2 linked regions of the Canis lupus familiaris genome follow. The protein of the gene in region 1 interacts with the protein of each later gene in a biochemical or structural test. Links are inferred from orthologs where the notes say so. Each region holds a gene or a part of one and is shown in the gene's direction. Other genes may lie near its edges.

Region 1 (6,932 bases):
CTCTGGGAGGGGAGAACTCTATGTGATATTCGGGGATTTTGGTTTCTGGGGGCCTTCTAGGAATGGCACAGGTGTGGATTGACCCTGGTGTAGAGAGGAGTAACTGGAGAAAGAGCCCTGGTAGGAATATTGGATGGGGGGAGGAGGGAAAGATACAGTGTAGGGGAGAGAAGGGCGAGGGAAGAGACGGCTCCTCCTTGCTCCCATCAGAAGAAGTGAGCCTTGATTGGGAGGGGGACCACGGACTAATATGGGGAAGAGCCCTTTTGTGGCACAAAGAAACTATCTGGTGGGGAGGGTCCCTGATGTGAGAGGAAATGGTATAAGGATAAGGTCTTGGCATGATATGGGGAGGGTCCCCTGGGAAGGGGGTGCCCTGATGGATGAGAATGCCATAGGGGTAGGAATTTTTTATATAGGGACAACTCTGTATAACAGGGTAACCTTGGTATGCTCTCCAGGACCCTGATGTGGTTTTAGGGGCCTGCAGAAGACTCTGCTATGGGTGTGGAGGGGGCCCAGAGTTCTCTTGTGGTTTGGGGGGAGGGGAATCCTAGACTTCTCTAGGATCTACTGGGAAGGGTAGATCTTGAAGTGAAAGGACCTTGCTGTGATAAGAGGTGATCCTGACAATCAGGGAAGACTGCAGGAGGGCAGGATCTGGTGTGAGGGGGCCCTGGGGAGGGCCATAAATAGAAATGGGAAGCAAACCTATACTGTCTGTGGTTTCTATCTTTCTTCTCTTTCTCACCCCAATTATTGGTGTCTTTTTGTCCTTTCTTGTCATGGCCTTTATCCCTGCCTGGCTTCCAATCATTCCCTTTCACATGTTCCCCTCTTTGTGCCACCTACTTCATTTATTTGGTAATCATTTGTTGAGGGACTCTGCTGTGCCCCCACCCCCACCCCACCATTTTTCACTGTCCCCTTTCTTCATTGCCACCTGTTGTCCTTTTTCTCCTCTCCCTATGCCCTACCTTCTCTCTGGTGTCCACCTCTTTCCCACCTGTCCCTGTCCCACACATCTTCTTGTTCCATGTTGTTCCCCTGCCTCCCGCCTGCTCTCAGGTCTCAGCGGCGGTGGCAGCCGAGGTGCAGGATGCGAGAAGGCGCCCCCCGGCCGGGCTCCCGCTCCAGGCCTCGCTCCCCTGCGGCCCTCTGAGCCCACCATGGCCGTCCCACCGGGCCATGGTCCCTTCTCTGGCTTCCCGGGGCCCCAGGAGCACACGCAGGTATGCGTTCAGCTGGCTCCTCACATGCCTGGGGTAGGGGGAGGCTGGGGATAGAAGGGTCTTGGGGCCAAAAGATTATTTGGTTGCCCAGAGCAGTCTCCTGGGGCCATGAAAAGCCCATCTGGAGTGGAAGATAATAGAGAAGTTGGTGGCAGAGACTGTTTGGATAGCCTGGGTTCAAATCCTGACACAGGGTTAAATTACTTAGGTTCTACCTGCTTCAGTTTTCTTTCTCTTAAAATGAAGCCAAGAATGATAACTACCTCGCAGGATAGTTGTGAGGTTAAGCAAGTTAATGAAATGCATGTAAAATGCTGAGAATAGTGCCTGGCACCTAGGAAACACCCAGTAAATGTTCACTAAGGAAAAAAGGTCCAGAGTGAAAGATGGGCAGTTGGGGTGCAAGGGGGAGAAGTCTGAGTCCAAAGGATCCTGGAGCCAGCAGCATCTTACACTACAGAGTAAAGATATTCAGGGGTGGAGACTGTCAGGGCTCTGAAATGTAGAGCTTGAAGCAGGATGGAGTAGGAGGTGCCAAGGTGCTGGCTCCCAAAAGACTGGGGCAAAATGTGCAGAGTTGGGGGTGAAGGATAGGAAGATACCACAGGATAAGGGTAAAGCAAGATGGCAGCCCTCAAGATGGGACACCCAGAATGATGGTGGACTGGGAAGGGCAGAGCCTATGTTTTCTATCTGATCTCTCCCACGGAGGTTCAGAAAGGAGTAAAGGTGTAGGATGAAAGGTCAGGAGAAAATAGTTCACCATTCATTCACTCAGCAAATCTCTGATGACCACCCACTATGTGCCAAACGCTACTTGGCACTGCAGATACAGCAAGAACAAGACAGTCTCTGCCCTTGGGGAATTTCTGTTCCTGTTGGGTTGTCACACAGTGATCAAGTAAAATGTGTATATGGTGACAATGACCCGGCCACCCAGAGAGTTCTCCCTAAGGTTGTCTGTTAGAGGTAAAGGCCTATCCTCAGTGCCATGCCGCACCCCCCCCCCCCCCCCCGCCCTGCCTCACCCCGCAGGTATTGCCTGATGTGCGGCTGTTGCCACGGAGGCTGCCCCTGGCCTTCCGGGACGCGACCTCAGCCCCGCTGCGCAAGCTCTCCGTGGACCTCATCAAGACCTACAAGCACATCAATGAGGTGGGCGGGGGACCCAACCAGGTGCTGAGGGGTCCTGGCAGCTGGCACAGGGCACTCAGCAATCCTTATCTTCTGGCTGGCTGGGCAGGTATACTATGCGAAGAAGAAGCGGCGGGCCCAGCAGGCGCCACCTCAGGACTCGAGCACCAAGAAGGAGAAGAAGGTCCTGAACCATGGTTACGACGATGACAACCATGACTACATTGTGCGCAGTGGCGAGCGCTGGCTGGAGCGCTATGAGATTGACTCACTCATCGGCAAAGGCTCCTTTGGCCAGGTGCGGGGTGCCCCCCTTCCACCCTGACCCAGGGATAGAGAGGCATGGGCATCCACTGATACTGACCCACAAAGGAGTAGTGCCCTGTTCTGTGCCCCGTCCCCTTCCCCCGCATTTCCTCACTTTGTAACATGCCCTGCCCCGGCAGGTGGTGAAAGCCTATGATCATCAGACCCAGGAGCTGGTGGCCATCAAGATCATCAAGAACAAAAAGGCCTTCCTAAACCAGGCCCAGATTGAGCTGCGGCTGCTGGAGCTGATGAACCAGCATGACACAGAGATGAAGTACTATATAGGTGAGGCCTGGGGCAGCAGTACACCCAGTACAGTACTGGGTCAGTGTCTTCAGGGCAGGGGCTGGTCTGGAATCCCCTGACATCAGCGATTCTCCTGCCGCCTTAGTGATTGTTTCCCTATTCCCATGATGGCTTTGGTCACAGTGTATTGGGTGCTCGCTAAGGGTCAGGCCCTGTTGCAAGCACTTTCCCTGATTTAACTGGCTCCAGTCTGACCACAGCTCTGGGGGGAAGGGGCACCTTGGCCCACAGCTTGGAGACGACGACAGAGGCATTCATGTGCTATCACTTGCATAAAGTCACAGCATTTGTACTCAGAGGGGCTATAATTTCACCAGGCAGTGGGCTCCCAGGCCTATAGTCATAACATCTGCATCAGTCTTTTCCTCTTTCCCATACTGATTCTTAGAAAAGGCAAGTGGATTGAAAAAGTGTGTTTCTTTAAATACACATCCTTACCCTAAATGGAAAACTAGTGTCCCCTGCCACAAAAATAAATAGAACTGAGACTAAAACAATGTTACAAAATTAAGTGAGAAAATCTAGAAGGGCAGTAAAGACCCATCAGCACCACAAGGAAACGTTCTCTGGTTTATCAGAAAGTTTGACAGAGACTTGGAAAGAATGAACTTCTCTTAATCAAGGAACTCTTTCTCTTGATGTGAATCGAGTTCCAGATCATATAAAAAACACCCTGACGAGCAGCTGCTTCCCGTGGGCACACCACAATTTGGCCAGCGCTCAAGAGGCAGAGCCCCGGATCGGCTTCCAGCCCCTCTGCCTACTACTGTGCATCCCCGGCCGCCACCGGGCCTCTCTGAGCCTCAGCTTCCCCGTCAGGCCCATTTCCATCCCCTTCCCCGCAGTGCACCTGAAGCGGCACTTCATGTTCCGGAACCACCTGTGCCTGGTGTTCGAGCTGCTTTCCTACAACCTGTACGACCTCCTGCGCAACACACACTTCCGCGGCGTCTCCCTGAACCTGACGCGGAAGCTGGCGCAGCAGCTCTGCACGGCGCTGCTCTTCCTGGCCACGCCCGAGCTCAGCATCATTCACTGCGACCTCAAGCCCGAGAACATCCTGCTCTGCAACCCCAAGCGCAGCGCCATCAAGATCGTGGATTTTGGCAGCTCCTGCCAGCTTGGCCAGCGGGTGCGGCGTGGCCCGGGGACGGGGGCGGGGCTCGCGGCGTGGGTGTGGCCCGGGGGCGGGGCCAACTAGTGGCGGGTGGGGCGGGGGTGCGGCCCGAGGTGGCCTGGAGGGTGGTATTGGAATGGGGTGTTGGCGACCTAGCGTTGTAAGGCCAGCTGGTGCGGAGGTTAAAAGGAGAGGGCCACAGGGTATAGTACCCAGTAGGAAAGGAAGAGAAGCCTGAGGAGGCAAGGCCAGCTATGAGGCGTTCAAAGTGGGCAGGGTGAAGTGGGGTTGGCTTTGAGCCTGGAGAGGCGTTTGGCTAGGTTTTGTTTACCCGGTGCTCTGAAAGCTGGGGAGGAAGTGGGGGACGGGTGCTTTAGTTTGCAGCTTTGAGTCAGCAGGCATTTGAGATGGCTTGGAAAGGGTCTGAGTGGGGGGTGGTGGGAAAGGCCTGGTCTTGCAGACTGCCAACCTCTGATGACCAAGGAGGGTCAAGTCAGTCTTTGGATGAAGATCAGGGTCAGACTAGGCTAGCAGAGACTTCTGAGGCTGATGAATAAGTGATGGTAGTGCCTCCTGGAAAGTGGGTGATGTCCTCAAGATTTGTAACCCTAATGCTCCAGTTGCATGGAAGGAAGCTTGTCTTAGCTTTGAGTATGTCATTGGCACTACTAGGGGAGGCTGGGACCTCTCTTGACTGTTGCCCTGTTCCCTGCTTCTTCCCCAGATCTACCAGTACATCCAGAGCCGCTTCTACCGGTCGCCTGAGGTGCTTCTGGGCACACCCTACGACCTGGCTATTGACATGTGGTCCTTGGGCTGCATCCTGGTGGAGATGCACACCGGAGAGCCCCTCTTCAGTGGCTCTAATGAGGTGTGCTCCTGAGGAAGGGGTGTGCTGGAGGGGGCGGAGGCCTGGCTGGCCTGATGACCCTGACTGCCCACCTGCTCACAGGTGGACCAGATGAACCGGATTGTGGAGGTGCTGGGCATCCCACCAGCCCCCATGCTGGACCAGGCACCCAAGGCTCGCAAGTACTTTGAACGGCTGCCTGGGGGTGGCTGGACCCTACGAAGGACAAAGGAACTCAGGAAGGTGCGGCCCCTGCCCCATGCCGCTCCTCCTACCCTGGTGGCCCTTTACTCTCTCACACTTGGGGCTTCCTTTCTCCCTGCTTCCTCTCCCTTGTGTCTTTCCCTTCCTTCCTCTCCCCTTGTCTGTCCTTTGTCCTGCCCCACCCCATCTCTCCTACCCACCCCACAACTCTTCTTAGCTTCTCTCCTTCCACTTTCTCTCTTGTGCCTCTGTTTCCCCGTGTGTGTCTCCCTGCCCCTCCTGCCCACTGACGGCCACTCTCTTGCCCCCCCTCCCACCCCCTCCCTGCCAGGATTACCAGGGCCCCGGGACACGGCGGCTGCAGGAGGTGCTGGGCGTGCAGACGGGCGGGCCCGGGGGCCGGCGGGCGGGGGAGCCGGGCCACAGCCCCGCCGACTACCTCCGCTTCCAGGACCTGGTGCTGCGCATGCTGGAGTATGAGCCCGCCGCCCGCATCAGCCCACTGGGGGCTCTGCAGCACGGCTTCTTCCGCCGCACGGCTGATGAGGCCACCAACACGGGCCCGGCAGGCAGCAGTGCCTCCACCTCGCCCGCACCCCTTGACACCTGTCCCTCCTCCAGCACCGCCAGCTCCATCTCCAGCTCTGGTGGGTGCCCAGTGCCAGGTGGGGTAGAACAGGAGGGTGGGCAGCTCTTGTTTGGCCTGGCCTGGGGGACCTGGCCACACTGGGCCTTCACCTAGAGCTTTGAAACTGCATGATCCTGAACTCCAGAACAAGTGGGGCAAACAGAGTTCTGACTGGTCCTGACCTGATCTCCGAGATTGAGCTTGGGCTCACATCTCTAAAACTGCTTTTCACTCTGATACCCAAAACTGAGCTCTGACCCATAATTTCAGAATTGGGCCCTATCCTCTAAATAGACTCTTGTCCAAAGCCCAGGCCTGGGCCTGGGTCACAAACCAAACTCAGACACTGAAAAATCCAACCACCACCTCTCCTCACCTAAGGCGTCTCCTCATTTCCTCCCCTGGCACTTCCAGGAGGTTCCAGTGGCTCCTCCAGTGACAACCGGACCTACCGATACAGCAACCGATATTGTGGGGGCCCTGGGCCCCCCATCACTGACTGTGAGATGAACAGCCCCCAGGTACTGGGGCCTGGGGGACTTGGGAGGTGGGTAATAGGTATCTGGGGCTTTAGGACCTGGGTCTCCATCACCCACTGTTCCTTTGCTCCTTTAGGTCCCACCCTCCCAGCCGCTGCGCCCCTGGGCAGGGGGTGATGTGCCCCACAAGACACATCAGGCCCCTGCTTCCGCCTCGTCACTGCCAGGGGCCGGGGCCCAGTTACCCCCCCAACCCCGATGCCTTGGTCGTCCCCCATCACCAACCTCACCACCACCCCCGGAGCTGATGGATGTGAGCCTGGTGGGCGGCCCTTCAGACTGCTCCCCACCTCACCCAGCGCCTGCCCCCCAGCACCCGGCTGCCTCAGCCCTCCGGACTCGGATGACAGGAGGTCGTCCACCCCTCCCACCCCCTGATAACCCTGCCACTCTGGGGCCTCGCTTGGGCCTCCGTGGTGTACCCCAGAGCACGGCAGCCAGCTCATGACCCAGCCCCCTCCCTGGGGCCCCTCCTGAAGCCATACCCCCCATCTGGGGGCCCTGGGCTCCCATCCTCATCTCTCCCCTTGACTGGAATTGCTGCTACCCAGCTGGGGTGGGTGAGGCCTGCACTGATTGGGGCCTGGGGCAGGGGGTCAAGGAGAGGGGTCTA
Region 2 (7,657 bases), on another chromosome or scaffold:
TCCAGCAAGTTCTCATTCCATTAGTATGTATTTAGGTTTATTCCAGAAGGAACTAAAATAATATTTTTTCTTTCAACTTATGTGTATTTTTCAAGTGGCCTCTAAGTTTTTGGGACATAAATATTTAAGAGTTGTTTTGACCCAAATACTTGCAAAACCAGTTAGGTTTTATTGGGGGGGGGGGTGTTTATTTGTTTAGCACACGAGTGGGAGTAGGAGGTGCCCTGAAATAATTTCGGAGACACTGAGGGTGCCTTGAATCAAGAAAGTTTGGGATCCCTGCATCATGCTCTTTACCAAACGTTGTCTTAGCAGCCCTAGGAGATATACCTCTGTTTTATACAGATGAGTCTAGAAAGGCTAACTCACGTGCCTGAGGCCCCCCGGGGGTGGGGCTGGAGGTCGAATGTGGGAACAGTGAACATTCAAACGAGGTCTTGTGTCCTCTAGGATGCAAACAGTTTCTCCATTTAGATTTGTCTGCGGATTGTGGGGAAGGGCACCCCTTTCTGTTTGGGGAGAAGCAGGGTCATGTTCCTGATGCGTCCCTTCTTGTTCATCCCAAAGGGCCCTCTCCCGGGGACCAGGACCGCAGCGTCGCGGCCGCTGGGGGCAGAAGCTCCGTGAGGCTCTGCACTTCCCCCTCCTCCCACCACCACCAAATCCATCAGGAGTCCCAGGCTCAGCCACCAGGCTGCGGGAGGACTCAGCAGCCAGCGCTCAGCGGCGCCGGCAAGGATCCAGGCACCGCCGGTGCCCTCCCTCCGGGTCCCTATTCTAGGTGAAAGTCACCAGGGGGCAGCGGGGGGCAGCAGCAGCCGCGTGGCCGCAGGGAGGAAAAGCACTGCGGGCAGGGGCGGTCCCACCTCCCCAAGGGGCCGCGGCCAGCGTCAGCGTCAGGCGCACAGGCAGGCTGTGGGCTCCGCGGGATGCTGAGCCAGTCATTTAATGCCTCTGAGCCTCTGTCCTCCCACCCGTCGCCCTGCGGAGGGGAATGCAGGGCCTACTAGGTGGACTTCTGAGAATTTAATCCGTTACTGAAGCCTATACTTAGTGGAGCGCGCCGCATACATGGTCCTCGTGCAGTGAAATTTAGCCGCCTGTGCATCTTCAACAAATAATTATTGAGCACCTCCTGTACCATCGAGGCAATGCTCTAAGCTCTGGGACTCTAGCAACGAGAAGACCGACGAAAAAGCCCTGGCTTCAGGGAGCTTGCACCGTAGCAGAGGGACACAGAGCATAAATAATACACGGAACACCCAAGGCAACGCCAGAGCAGCACTGTCCCGAGGAAAGAGAACACGAGCCCCATATGTAACTTACATTTTTCCAGTAATACTGTTACAAAAGTAAAAAGAAATGGGTGAACTTCATTTTTCTAATTTTTAATTTAGAAGATTTTATTTTTAAAAAATTAAAAAAAAAGATTTTATTTATTCATGAGAATACACAAGAGGAGAGAGAGAGAGAGAGAGGCAGAGACACAGGCAGAGGGAGAAGCAGGCTCCATGCAGGGAGCCCGACGTGGGACTCAATCCCAGGTCTCCAGGATCAGGCCCTGGGCCCAAGGCGGCACTAAACCACTCAGCCACCCGGGCTGCCCAATTTTAGAACATTTTCATCATCCTGCAAGAAATCCCTATACCCATTAAGCAGTCCCTCCCTCTTCCCCTCCCCTCAACACCCTACCCCACCCTCAACCACTAATCTACTTTCTGTCTGGTATGGATTTGCCTCTTCTGGATATTTCCTATAAATGGAATCACGTGTGGCCTTTGGTGACTGGCTTCTTTCACTTTACATAGTACTTTCAGGGGGTCACTCACGCTGTACCAAGTGTCTGCGTCTTGTTCCTTTTTATGGCCGAATAATACACAGTTGCATGGATACACCACATTTTACTTATCTGTCCATTGCTGGATATTTATGCTTCTCCCCCTTTTTGGTTATCATGAATGATGCTGCTGTGAACATTCACATGCAAGCTTTTGCAAGAACATGTTTTTAATTCTTTGGGGGTTGGCATTAATTTTGATTTTTAATATATTGTAGAAAAAGGTTTTCTCGATGACTGAGTTTTTGGATGCCCCTTAAACAATTTATACTTGAGGCAAGTGCCTGCCTGGCCTCCTCTGGTTCCCACCTTATAAGCCTTGTCCTTTGCTAGCAGTGTGGTTTTGGGCAAGCTGTTCAGCCTCTCAGAGTCTTGGTTTTCTGGTCTGTAAAACAGAGATGATCCCTATACCCACTCACAGCTATTAGGGGGCTACAATGAGGCAATGTCACATTTCCCAGACCAGCACACAGTCGACTTAAGTCAATGTGTCTTTCCTACAGAGAGGCCTGGTGTTGGGCCTGGAGAGGTGGGTCCCAACATGGCTGTGACCTAGCACTGACCTTGAAGAAAGCTGGCCCACCTGCCTCGAACCGCTTCTTGCTCCAGTTCCCAAGGGAAAGCTGCTCTTTTTTTTTTTTTTTTCCTTCCCTCTCCTGCCTCAGCCTGAGCCCCCCGTCAAAGTCCTCGGGGGCGGGACCCCAAGCTGTTACCAAAAGGCCTCCGTGGCCCCCCAACCCTTCCATCCCGGCTGCCCTGCACCCCCTCCCCCCTGCTCCCCCCCCACTCCCGTTGAAGGCCTCGGCTCCCCCATCCCTCTGCACTGCCATGAGGCCTGCACTTTGCAGGGCTGAAGTCCAAAGTTCAGTCCTTTTGCTAAGCACACGGATAAATATGAACCTTGGAGAATTTCCCCAGCTCCAATGTAAACAGAGCGGGCAGGGGCCCTGATTCACTGGCCGGCTGGGGCCAGGGTTGGGGGTTGGGGGTGCCCACGGGGCTTGGTTAGTGGGGTTTGGGGGGGCAGTAGGTGCAAGGAGCCTGGTTTGTGGCTGCCTGCCGGTCGGCCAGCAGGTCGACAGCCCGCTGGGTGGGGGAGGCGGCCGGTTTGGTGGCCCCGGGCCGCGTGGCCCAGTGGCGGCAGAGCCATGGTTTCTAAACTGAGCCAGCTGCAGACGGAGCTCCTGGCGGCCCTGCTCCACTCGGGCCTGAGCAAAGAGGCACTGATCCAGGCGTTGGGTGAGCCGGGGCCCTACCTGCTGGCTGGAGATGGCCCCCTGGACAAGGGGGAGTCCTGCGGCGGCGGTCGGGGGGAGCTGGCCGAGCTGCCCAACGGGCTGGGGGAGGCGAGGGGCTCCGAGGACGAGACGGACGACGATGGGGAAGACTTCACACCGCCCATCCTCAAGGAGCTGGAGAACCTCAGCCCCGAGGAGGCGGCCCACCAGAAAGCCGTGGTGGAGACCTTGCTGCAGTAAGGACCCCTTCCCCATCCCCGGCATCCAAGGAGCCTAGGGACCCCCCCCCCCCCAGCTCCTGACTGGACCTTCCTCCGAGTCCAGCTTTCCACGAGCTCTAGTTTTTAGCCTGGCTGCCGGGAAGGGCCACAGGGCCCGTCAGAGCTCCGGGCGTCCTTGCTCCCCGGTGGCGGTGGCGGGAGCCTACGAGCCCCTAACCAGGCCCTCTGCAAGGTCGGGAGTCCCCAGGAGCCAAGGCTTTCAGCCCAGAGCCAGGAAGCAAGCCCGTGGCCCGGGGGAGCTCTGAGATGGGGACAGAGCAGGCACGTCTGTAATTCATGTGCCTGGAGAACCGGAGGGTGGTGGCAATGGTCAGTCACCATGGCCCTTTCTACTCCCCCAACCCTCCCCTCCCTGCTAGGCATTCCAGTTGCAGGCTCTGGGGCCCGGAAGCACTGTTAGTGAGAGGGGGGCCGAGGCTGGGGTTTTAGGGGCTCCCTCGGCCACCTAGGGACTCAAGCATTAAGCTAGGAAAGCCCAGGTCTTACCTGAGGGAGATGGAGCCTAGGGGCAGGACCTGCTCCCCTTTCCTGCACAGCTTCAGCCCCTCCGCCTCACCGGCAGGCACCCTGAGAGGTCTCCCTGTTGTGCACCCCCATCCGCTGGCTGGTTCCCCAAGTCCCAGAGAACTGGGTGGGTCTGAGCCCGATGCCTCCCCTCTCCTCAGCAGAGCTGACCTGGTTACTAATTACCCATGAGCTTTATTATTTCTCTTTTGTTTTATAAATTTATAAACGGTAAAAGGCTCTGATAAGGCCTGTGATCATTAACTTGTAAAGATGGTGGCCTGGGGAGGCCTGGGCCAACCAACCCTCCTACCCAAAGGGGCGGGGGGAAAGGGGTCTAGGGGCTGTGGGGACTGCCCTCCCCAAGGCTCCTAAGCTCCAATCCTAACAGCCAGGCCCCAAGCTGAGGTTTCAGGTGCATATGGTCGGATAATGTTGGGATGAACGGCGGCTGACTAGTTAGCTAGGGATAACTGCTTCACAGCTGGGGAAACTGAGGCCCAGCGAGGGGAAGTAGCTCGACTAAGGCCACCCACTGGCGCTCCACAGCCGCTCTGCTTGGTGCTCTCAATTGCGGCGGCTGGGCAGTGGGAGAAAGAGTCCCAAACAGACTCTCTACGGGACCTTTTCTGTCCAAGGTCCTGATCCCAGCTTGGGGTGGGGGGAGCCCTCAGGGTCTGCCGGGCCTTGTGAGGGCCTGGGCAGGGGGCAAGGGAGCAGCCAGGGCCCCCTGACTTGGCAGGAAGAAGAGGGCAAAGGGCCCTGCTGCGCTGCAGGGGAGGGGCAAAGAGTCAGGCATTGCCAGACCCAGGGCGAGGGCGACAGGGGACAGGGTGGGGCCGGGCCAGACCTGCTCCGGGGCCCAGATAGCACTGGGGGCTTTCGGGTGGGAGTGGGGGCAGGGGGTGCCAAGGGCCTTTCTTACCTGGCTGGGTGGGGCCTCTTGATCAGCAGCCCCTTTGGTGGCATGGTGAGTAGGGGGGAGGCTTCATCCATAGCACCCGAGGGGGGAGCAGGGGTCAAAGTGCTCCCTGGGAGCCAGCAGAGACCTGGAAGCTGAGGGAGATCGGGGAGCTGTGGAGGAAGAGGGAGGGCGTGGGGTTGGGGGGGAGATGGAGAGGCCTGGAGAAGGAGAGGAGAGCAGAAGAGCCGGGAGGGCCGAGGGGCTCCCACCCAGCTGGGAGAAGGGGCTGGGGAGAGAGTGAGACACCCCAAGCTGCAGAGAAGGCTGGAGTGCTTCCCGCCTGACCCGATTGGGTTTTCTTTAATGCTAACAGCATGCTATTTACTTTCCATTTAAATTTGAGATGTTGCTATAAATTATCAACCAGCTCCTTGTTCCTGCGGAGTTTATAACTAACTACCTGGGTTACTTATTGTTCAGGTAACAAAAGGGATCTGAAAACGCCCCGAGGGAAAAAAGTGGGGCCTCTACCCTCAGGACCCAGGAGGGAGTGGGGTGGGCACCCCTGATGAAAGCCTGGACAGCAGGGCTGGAGGAGCTTAAGGCTGGAAAGGATGGTGCAGAGGCAGGGTTGCCAGTGGACGCCATTTCTCTGGAGAGGACGGTGTGTGGGAAGGGGCAGGGTGGGTCCTGCCCCCCGCCCCGGGTACCTCGTGCCTGAGGCCACAGCAGGAGCCTGAGCTCTTCTCAGACCCCCACCCCCCTTAGTTCACTGTGTGACCTTGGGCAAGTATCATCTCCTGCCTCATTTTCCCTAATTGGCCAGTGAATAAAATTCAAATTCCCTGTCCTGGTTCCCTGACCTCTTCTCAAGGGACCTCTGTGCCTCCCTCACATCCCTCCCAGGACCCCCAGGAGGGTCGACTGACTTTGCTGATTCCCACCTCAGGGTCTTTGCATGTGCTGCTCCTTCTGCCTGGACACTTCTTTCTAGATCTTCCCATGACCAATGCCCTCTCCTCCTTTTGCTCAAGGGTCATCTCCTCAGGGAGGCCCTCCCTCACTGCCCCCATCTAAAAGCAGGTCCCACCAGAGTCACTCTCTCTTTCACTACCTTCTGTTACTTTCTCTTGTCCCTTAACTTTACGTACGATTGTTTTTGTCTGGTTTCTAACTCCTGCCATGAAAATAGAAGCTGTTCAAAGACAAGATCTGTGGGGTCTTGTTCACCACTCGTACCCCCGATATGCAGCCCAGTGGCTAAAATACAGCATGAATGAATGAATGAGTGGCGAGGATTCCCTGAAGCCCTGGGGACATCTGCTGTTATGGCCAAGGGAGGAACCTGTACCCAGGGCTCCTTCCTGGGTGTCCTCTTGGCTCCTCCCTGTCCCTGAGCCGCCTGAACTTCAACCTGAGGGATGATGTCCTGGGTCCCCTCCATCAGGCAGCACCAGGTCTTTGAGACCCAGGAAGACAGTGGCCACGGTGGGACAATCTGATATCCCTGACTGAGGCCGACCTGCCCGGGTTCAAATCCCAACTCAGCCCGACCCTGACTTGGGCAGGTGATTTCACGTCCCTGAGCCCTGTGCCCTCTGCAAGGCATGGATGACGATAGCACTTACCCACAGGGTCAAGCAGCATGCAGGCGCAGTGAACGGTTGCTAGGAGTAATAGTCCCATTTTACAGATAAGCAAACTAAGCCTCAGAGAGGCAGTGACATGCCCAAGATAATTTATGAAGCAGTAAGGCCAGGACTTGGACCCAGGCCGCCCTAATCCCACGCTCTGCACAGCATCCTTGAGGTTGCATGCTGACCGCGCTGTCCTTATAGGTCTATTTCTCTTTTTATCCTCTCGTCATTCTGCTGTTAACCTCACATCCACTCACTTCCACGTGGTGCTCGAGAGCTCCCGACCACTTACAAATGCGTTAAACTTGTTTTCTCCTCCTGGCAACTTATGAAATTCTTTTGGCCGTGTATCACGGTTGGGGAAACTGAGGCACACAGAGGTTGAGCAGTTTCCCAAGGCCACCTGGATAGTGCGTGGCAGAGCTGGGATTTGACCCGAGCTGGGAAGCTTCTCTGAGCTCCCCCAACCTCCATGCACTGAGAACTCCACTCCCCCTCCAGACTCGTGGCCCTTCCCACTGGTTTCTGAGCTCCATAGCCCTTGGACCCTCTGAAGTCCCAGGGGCCAGCGAGCCAAAGGCCCAAAGTCTTGAACTTCTGATTGATCCCTCCCAGAACCCATAAGAGGTGGGAGGAGGAGATGTGGGCAGATCTTCACGTCTCCTGGGTCCGCTTCCCTCTGCATCAGGGCTGGGAGGCCCATGACCACATCATCCCTGATGACGACGATGTTGATGGTGACAAATTGTTGTACTTACTGAGCACTTACCATGTATCAAGCCTCGCTCCTCCCAGGGGCACTGTGAGGCAGGCGTGGGCTTATGGCACCATCCTGAGGAGGCATGCGGCATACACGCGGGAGGTGCTAGGGCACCACGGTGGGAGGTGAACCCAGGTTGGCTTGACCCTTAAACCCACTGGAGAGAAAGCAGGAGATACCTGGAGACATGGTGCATTAGTTCTGGGTTGGGGAAACTGTCCTGGGAAGAGTCAGGTCCCTGGAGACTGGGGGTGAGTGAATGTGTGTGGTGGGGGAAAGAGACAGAACGAACAACAGAGACACATGCAGAGACAGACAGAGAGAGAGAGAAGAGAGGCAGGTAGAGAGAAACTAAGAGATAGGGACACACACACATGGAGTCAAATGGGCAGTGACGGGACAGTACATCTTCAGTTGGAGCCAGGGAGGCCCGGCTGAGAGGAAGCGGAGCTCATTCTCCCCGGGGAAGGGAGAAGGCGGGGGTGGGGGGGTGGGG

The links.
Region 2: of the proteins of DYRK1B (region 1) and HNF1A, one has a biochemical effect on the other in vitro, tested with the Homo sapiens proteins (2 studies listed by IntAct, with this or other methods). The link is inferred for Canis lupus familiaris from reciprocal best matches to the Homo sapiens genes DYRK1B and HNF1A.

Annotation. Positions count from the first base shown.
Region 1 is NC_049222.1:114,431,656-114,438,587, forward strand, and holds part of DYRK1B (dual specificity tyrosine-phosphorylation-regulated kinase 1B), read left to right. Parts: intron 1-86; exon of another isoform or gene 87-120; intron 121-1,068; 5' UTR 1,069-1,169; coding exon 1,170-1,232; intron 1,233-2,267; coding exon 2,268-2,387; intron 2,388-2,475; coding exon 2,476-2,664; intron 2,665-2,812; coding exon 2,813-2,960; intron 2,961-3,826; coding exon 3,827-4,113; intron 4,114-4,822; coding exon 4,823-4,969; intron 4,970-5,050; coding exon 5,051-5,191; intron 5,192-5,483; coding exon 5,484-5,799; intron 5,800-6,194; coding exon 6,195-6,301; intron 6,302-6,395; coding exon 6,396-6,767; 3' UTR 6,768-6,932.
Region 2 is NC_049247.1:17,147,246-17,154,902, forward strand, and holds the start of HNF1A (hepatocyte nuclear factor 1-alpha), read left to right. Parts: upstream 1-2,985; coding exon 2,986-3,311; intron 3,312-3,842; exon of another isoform or gene 3,843-7,580; intron 7,581-7,657. UniProt on the Homo sapiens protein: Transcriptional activator that regulates the tissue specific expression of multiple genes, especially in pancreatic islet cells and in liver. Binds to the inverted palindrome 5'-GTTAATNATTAAC-3'.